Linked DNA regions of Nothobranchius furzeri. The protein of the gene in region 1 binds, or shares a complex with, the protein of each later gene. Links are inferred from orthologs where the notes say so. Each region holds a gene or a part of one and is shown in the gene's direction. Other genes may lie near its edges. The genes, in order: AP-1 complex subunit beta-1 and ldlrap1b.

The links.
Region 2: the proteins of AP-1 complex subunit beta-1 (region 1) and ldlrap1b are in contact, whole or in part, in a crystal structure (PDB 2G30), measured with the Homo sapiens proteins. The link is inferred for Nothobranchius furzeri from reciprocal best matches to the Homo sapiens genes AP2B1 and LDLRAP1. Residues at the interface, in NP_001273.1 of Homo sapiens: Arg834, Gln835, Phe837, Leu838, Trp841, Glu849, Gln851, Ile876, Ala877, Arg879, Val881, Glu882, Gln884, Met886, Tyr888, Glu902, Arg904, Ser915; in NP_056442.2 of Homo sapiens: Asp253, Leu255, Asp256, Ala258, Phe259, Ser260, Leu262, Ala263, Gln264, Arg266, Thr267.

The regions. Positions count from the first base shown.
Region 1 is NC_091750.1:66,891,854-66,895,771, forward strand, and holds the start of AP-1 complex subunit beta-1, read left to right. Parts: upstream 1-1,292; 5' UTR 1,293-1,423; intron 1,424-3,918. Other genes in the region: tectonic-like complex member MKS1, read left to right, coding at 104-201, 774-877. UniProt on the Homo sapiens protein: Component of the adaptor protein complex 2 (AP-2). Adaptor protein complexes function in protein transport via transport vesicles in different membrane traffic pathways.
Region 2 is NC_091758.1:35,470,955-35,474,872, reverse strand, and holds the start of ldlrap1b (low density lipoprotein receptor adapter protein 1b), read left to right. Parts: upstream 1-1,259; 5' UTR 1,260-1,480; coding exon 1,481-1,565; intron 1,566-3,918. UniProt on the Homo sapiens protein: Adapter protein (clathrin-associated sorting protein (CLASP)) required for efficient endocytosis of the LDL receptor (LDLR) in polarized cells such as hepatocytes and lymphocytes, but not in non-polarized cells (fibroblasts).

The DNA.
Region 1 (3,918 bases):
CAAGTGTTCCATTTACAAATTTCACAAAGATCTGTATTATTAATGCAAATTGTTTCATCTTTACTTTTAAAAAGTGTTTACTGTTCGCTTCTGGTTGTTTCAGGGCCTTTGTTGACGCTGCCATTCAGAAAAAGAGGAGGCAGAAAGTCATCGACCAGCTGGGAGGATTTAGTCAGCAGGGAGATGTTTGCAATGTTCTGGGTAAACATACTCACACAGTATTTGCATCAGGGTTTAAAAGACTTTCACTTCCTGTTTGCTGCTGAGTGTATCCTTGTTTGTGTGAGCTGTGAGTTCTGTGTGTGTGGTTAAGTGAAAAAGTTTACTGTAATCAGGCTCTGAATGTTCCACCATTTATTATTTTTACCATGAAATGATTTTATGATAGCGGGAGTGAAAATTAGCATAATGCCACCAGTTAGCCTCTGTCAGCGAGCGTCAGGGCAGCTGTGGCTACATCGTAGCTCATCACCATCAGTGTGTAAATGTGTGTGTGAATGGATGAATGATACACTGTAGTGTACAGCGCTTTGGAGTCCTTACTCTGAGAGGCGCTATACAATTATGGGTCATTTATCATTTAGATTCTCGTTATTTCAAACCACTGGAAGATGGATTTGTTAGGACACTCACAAAATGTTATGGACTGTATACCAAGCCTTGCATTGCAGCTTGATTGCCCAAAGTAGACAAAAATGTAGAAAGAACAGGGAATTTTTCTGCAGGGTTAATTTAATTTGTATTTTCTGTTTGTTTGTTTTATTTCCCTTCAGAGGCCTTTCAAAGAGCATACAAAAAGCTACAAGAGGCCAGAGAAACGTTCCCACAAAAAGCCATCAACTCTACTTCCCAACTCGAGCTGGAATTTTCTGCATAAAAACCAAAAACACACTAAAACTGACATTTCAAGATGCATTTAGGATCCTGCACAAGCTTCCAAAACTGAAAAGTTTGTCTCAAGTCATCTTCTGTTCTTCTCAGACTGTAACTGACATTTTATTGACAAATGTTATTAACTTAAAAAATCATCAGAAACGATTTATTACACCAACATTAGGAGATGGAGCATAACACTTGTCTAATAAATGTACTATAATACCAGCAGTTTTTTTTTACAAAATTCAAGGTACTGTTTTCTTTTATTATTTATTTTACTGTTTATTTTTCTTATCTGAAATAAAGGTTAACTAAATAAAAATTAAATATGCAATGAAGTGGTATATTTTCCCCATTTTTAAAACAAAACAAATGGACTGAAACCCGCATTATCTGACTGCGGGTTGTCCTCCAACGTAGCATTCGTTTTAGCTCCAAAGGGAAGTAGTCCAATTTTCCATGACTGTAAACGCACCATTCTCCATCTTCCTCCAACCAGGGAAAGGACCGTTCAGCGATTTTCCCTCTCAGTTTCACACACGACCAGGTACTTAAGTACACATATTTCACGTTAATTTTGCAATCGTGTAATTTTTTGATGTGTAAATTGTGTGTCTTAGTCAATGTATGGCTGCTTTAGCGTATCTCTAGTAGGCATGTAGCGATGGGAACTGGGCCGCTGGTCGCTTTTCTCTTTTTTGTGTCAGATTTAGCCTAATGCTCAAACGAAAACTGAAATCGGTTTTCTGAAACTAAAACCCTGGTGGTTATTTAGATTCACTGTTTGGGGCTGTTTACTGCGGAATGAGTGTTGATGCTTTTTTTCGTACATAGCCGTTAAGCTAACCAATGTTAGCTAAGGGGAATTATGTATTAAGTTGATGTTTCTGGATTAAAAGTGTCACGCCCTGAAACAGTGAACTGTCTCGACTAGTGCCTGTGGGATTATCGTAAATATTTAATAGAGGTGTACAGTTTGAGGCAAATAGTTGCTTAAATGTCTCTGAAGCCATAACGTATATTTGGCAACGGGCTCCTCATTGAAACGCTCGCGAGCCACCAGCGTCATAAACAAACAGAACAAGGTCAAATCTGATGTCGGATCACTTATGTGTCCTGCAGATTTTTACAAAAAGCCTGCAAATTTTTTCAAAAAGTCTAACAGATCTTATGGAAACACACGCCTAAGGACTTTTTTAATGATTGTGTGAATGTTTTGTATTTGTTGAGGCAAAAATAAAATAATTCAAATGCAGCTCATGTGAATCATTTCTTCCTGCAGCAAGGATTTACTTACAAATCTAGCTGCTGTGAATTGTTGTAGCCCTTTTAAATGAGGTTAGAAATAAACGCCAAGGATGATAACATTTAGAGGCCAACCAATATATCGGCCGATATTTTCTATCTTTTCTATGTAGGACGAAATTATTTTTAAAAGCAGATTTAAGAAAAAATTAAATAAATCGGGCACCTGTATGACCAACTGCCACTACTACTAGACTGAAGAAAGGACCCAACACACCGTTTTTTAAAGAGCAAGTCACCCCCAAATCAATTTTTTATGTTTTCTGATATAAATGTGAGTCATCATGCTGCAGACACGTGTAGTCGAAAGTTTAGCGCTTTAGTGCATTTTAGTTACAATTATAACTTTCGGCCTATAACTGTCAGTGTTGTGCCGTTGTCAGGTAAAAACTCTGCACTGCATTTGAATTTAAATCTGCCATCACTATTGGCTAAGAGGTACCCTAAAATGTTAGCTGGTACCATATGATGTTACAATGTTGTTGTGAGCCTGTGTGTGTGTATTTGTTAGCGGCTCCACCCTCGGTCTGCTAGGCAACTGCATTTGTTGCATATTTCAAACAGGAAGTGGGAGTGGAGTAACGCCGGGGACACACCGGCCGCGGAAGCGCCGAGAAGCGAATCGCTCACGAAATTCGGCCGCTGCTCGCCGCTCCTCAGTTCAGATCAGACGCGCTCCAGTCGAGGCGCGCCTCGGCTCAGCTGTAGTTTTTCTTTTAAACACTTGGTGTCCTCCATTTCCTCTCTGCCTTTTCTCAGCTCTTTTCCTCTACGTTTGAGTGTGTGTGTGTGTGTGTGAACCTATGGTATGAGTTGTTTCTGTCTGTTGAATCTCTTGGAACCCGCTCCAATTCTGCAGCTGTATCCTAGCAGTTTCTTCCGAAATGGGTTCGTAAATAACCATGTTTTTCGGGGGTCGTACAGCTCCTTGTGTTTCTCAACTTCCATAATTAATTTAAAGTCATCCATCTTAACTGCTTGCCTCAGACTTTCTGCCTCTCTGTCCTGTTTGCTCCGGTGAAAAGACACCCAAAACCACACCCCCTTCACGTGCTCACACACGCACACAAGTTCAATGTGTGTGTATGTCTGTGTGTGTTCGTGTGGTTTTTCTGCAGTGTCTGATTACGAACACATTTGACTATTGCGGAATTTTATTTTGAAATGCTTTATTTTGTTAACTTTACCGGCCTGCCTCTTATGTCTAGGTTTGACTTCCTGCCAGAATTGACGCGATTCACTCGCGGCTTGCGAAAAAAATAGAGCCGACGCCGAAATGATCGCTGCACGGCGTGGGCTGGAGCGCCGGCGCGCGCCGGCCCGAGGCGATTCGCGGCGCTTCAGCGGCTCATGTGGTCTATAGAATAGTTTAACAAGGGCGCCGAATGAAGGCGGTCCCATTTTTGCGGCGCTTCCGCGGCCGGTGTGTCCCCGGCGTAATACTCTGGTAGGGGGTGACCTGTTCTTTAATGTTTTGAGTTTGTTTTGTATTTGAAGTTGAATAAAAATAGATTTATTGACCTATTTAATTTATATTGCACATAGTGAGTGTTCAGTTGTCTTTCACAATAAATGTGCTGCTAAAACACGTATATATCGGCCTTAATAATTGGCTTTAAATGTCGGCGATCAGCAACAAAATTCTTTAAAAATATGCATCGGCCTTAAAAAAACCATATCGGTCGGTCTCTCATAACATTTGTACATTAAACCAATCTTTTCTTTACAGACTAAACT
Region 2 (3,918 bases), on another chromosome or scaffold:
CTGTCTGAGCACAAAGGGGTAGTTAGTGCAACACTAATGCTGTAATCAACCACCATTTATCCAGCCTCTGATTAAAGATGGCTGTGATGTTGGCTAATTCATCCTCAGGGGAGTGTTAGGCTCCTGAACTCCCGTCTCCAAGCTTCTCATCTGGGATCCTTTACGAGCCATTCTCCTGAGTGCTTTATAATGATGTAATAGTCTCAGTCTGACACATGGGGATGCCATTTGGTTTCATTCTAAATCTCATTACTAAATATGAGTGAGGGTGGACATGTTTTAGTTTCTTAACCATTAAATTTTAATTTCTAATTACAAATAAAAAAAGTCCTCATGTTTTATGGTAAGGGAAGTTGAGCTTTGTTGAGCTTTGCCCTCCCGTGTTTGTAATGGTTAACAATTATGATCTAATTGGAAAATGTATGATATCGGGGGAGATTCTTACAGGCCGAGGCCATCTGCTCTGTTAGAGAAGCACAATAGTGAGAAAACTACAATTATTATTTCAACATTTCTATTTACAAGTTTTTCAATAATTACAACAGATTTTCAGTTTGAAAATACAACTATTTAAAAAAGTGTTTTATCTAATTTATTTATTATGACAACCTGAAAATATTTGTTCATACAAATCAGTAATTATTAATGCTTTGGCTCCGCCCTCAGCAGGGGGGTCCAAGCTTGCTGTCAAGTTGGCGCTAGCCCCCTCCTAGAATCACCCCTGCGTACATCTGTTTTAAATGTAATCAGATTACAGTTTTTAATTGTTCCCTCGTCTTGGCATTATTTCACATTTGTGAAAATTAGCTAATAAACAGATATTTTCATTCTATTCTTGAAAAATTATTTAATCAATTTGCACCAAACAGTGAATTATAATTATTAGTGGAATAAGCTCTTCAATACCCAGTGATTTTAATATATTTGATTGAGAGATTTTACTACAACAAATCCATTTATTGCAGTGGTTGGTTGTCTGACTACATGCCACAGTGATGTGACCCAGTCTGCCCGGCCCGACTCGTTAATCCACTTGCTGAGGTGAGACGAGTCCGTGACGTGTCTTCGCGCGTCAGTGGGAGCTCAGGAAACAAACGGAAGACTTCTCAATAAAAGCGAGCAGCAGCGTTATAGATTGAGCGGAACAGCTGGAAGGGCAGTCACGCCGCGCGTCGGAGCAGCGCCTTCTTGCCGCTCGCGCGACCTGTCGCCCTGCCGCGCCGCTCGCGTGACACCACAACGGGCGTAACGCACGCGCCATCCGGCCAATTTACATACATAACACCGCCCAGAGGACGAGCATGATAATCCACCATCGACTGAAACCGAGCTGAGCGCTGAGGAGAAGAAAAGAGACGATTTAAAAAGTTTTCTCGGGAGAGAGAGGGCTGTTTTAAACCGAGAGAAGGGAGAGAGTCGACGGAGACGGACGCGCGCTCGTCGGGCTCTTCGCCCCACTTCTGTTTTTGGGTTTACGGACATGGACGCTTTGAAATCCGCCGGGAGGGCAATTATACGGAGCCCCAGTATCGCGACGCAGTCCTGGGGTTCGGGCAAACATAAAAGTAAGTGCTGCTCACCGTGCGTGTTGGTGTTAGCTGGTGCTAATTGTGTTGCTAACCGGTGTTTTGTCCTAGCCCTGCTTTATAACTTATCCATGCACGCTCGGTACAGGTGTCGGCTACACTCGTGTGTGTGTCAGGTTACCTTTCTGCCCCAGAACTTGACACTTAATCTGAATATGTGGGAAAAGTGTAGCACCAGAGCTCGCGTGCGCGAGACTAGCGAAGTTTGGGGAGCTGTGCGTAAACCCCAGATCAGTTTGTTTGGGTTTGAAATGTGAAACAGGCACTCTGCTGGGGAGCTGCAGTCCTCTGATCCAGACCAGAGAGAAATGTGTGGTCGCCTCCGTGGCAAAGCCTGCGCAGTCCTAGCAACGCACTGTTGCTAGGCAATACATAATGTGCGAGAAACAGGAGGCTGCATGAAGGTGGGGTTGCACATTCTTTCAGGATTACAGATTCCTGACTTGTTATGAGGTCAAATGATGGGTTTGGTTAATCCATGACAGGTGTGTGTTTTTTTACGTGTCAGCCAAACGGAAGAGCAGTGTGGGCTTTTAAATGCAAGTTCACAAAGCCTGGGGCTTCCCCATCTTTCCATGCCTTCTAAAGGCAGCCGAGGAGCTGGCAGCAGGATGCCACGCTGATGCTTTGTTTTGGTCCCCTCTTTGCCTCCCCTGGGGAGTGATGCTTAATCAGCAGCATCCTTCTGGTCAAAAATTGATCGATCATCCAGCCCTGACCCTCTGTTATCTGTGGCCAAGCATCCCACCCTGCCTCTGCCTTTGACATTCAACCACACAGAAGCCAGTCCTGTAAACCATTCTGCACACATGTCAAACATTAATCAGAAGTTCCCGTTTTTCTTTCGCCTGTTATCAAGGAGCTCTTCGTCTTCCACTTTTCTTCGCTGTTGCAATCTAATTGCAGACTTAACAGAGTCTGGGTGTTGTGAATAAACTTGTCTTGGCCTGCTGTGTCATTAGGAATGTCCCCCCAAGTGGACCTTTTCCTTTGCATGTGGCACAATTGATGTATTTTTGCAATGGCAGTTTTGCAATTTCTCTCCTTTTCTTCCACTGTCACTGTTGATTTGTTATACGATTATTTATTATTGTTGATCAGTCATGTCTGTATTATTTATTGCTGCATGTCGATATTAAATTCAATCTCATTAGTTTTGCTTTTGGGCCTAATTCCTGCATGCTTTCTGTTTAATCCCACCCTGCTGGGTTGATGTAATGACACCCTGCCTGGTCACAACATCCAGCTAGTTTCCATTTTTCACAGATAGAAATTGTTTAAAACATCAGCAGTATTCTTGGGTATGAAAGGCCTATTTTTCTTTTTAAAATGAAATGCGTGGGAGGCAGAAAACTCCCTCGTGGCTTGTCAGGGAGCTGTCCTTTGTGACGTTGCCAACGTGAAAGACGGATAAACAGAAATCTAATACTTGCGCGCACGTGTGTGTGTGTGTGTGTGTGTGTGTGTGTGTGTGTTAATGATGCTGCCTCTAGAGATCACAGTTGTGTGACTCATTAGGATTTTTCACATTATTCAGAAGCTGGTGAGTGCTCAGTCGGTTTTGGCTTTAGATTTCTAATGTCACACAAATTCTACCAAATTATGCAGTCTGGCAACTAGGGATGTGAATCTGAAAACGACTCACGATTTGATTCGATTCCGATTCTTGGGGTGTCGATTCGATTCAGAATTGATTCTCGATTCTCAATTTAAATCGATTCACAATCAGTATTAACAGAGTGTCACCTTCAGGATTAACTATGTTGTACAAGTTAGTTAAAGCTATGGGACATTTTTATTTGACTTTAAAGGGACTTTATGGAGTTTTGAATTTTTATGCTCGCGATTGTCCCCTCAGGCCAAAAGAGTAACGGCAGCTTCAATAGTAGGCTCGTGCACGAGGCGCGCATGCTGTACGTGCACACTCCTTAATGAAAATAACAGCTGAGACAGTCCCGTGTGTGTGTGTGTGTGTGTGTGTGGGTGGGTGGGTGGGTGGCCCGGAGGACAGGAGAACGCGCAGCTAATGAATTAAATAATTTGGTTCTGTACCTTTCTCTTCAGCACAGCTGACAAAGGTTTAAGATGGGTCAGTCCTCCTGCATGCTCAGATCATTCCCTTACCTTGCTTGAAAAATTGTTCCAAAATGAAAGTTGAACCCACATATTTATCTGTGAATTCAATGCCGTTCGGCGAGTTTCAAATAAAAATTTGGGCATCTTAGTGTAAAAAAAAAATACCATTAATGTAAAAAAAATAAATTCTAAATAATTTATGTTCACATCCAGAATCGAACCTGGATTTTCTGCACGAGAGTCCGACATCTAACTA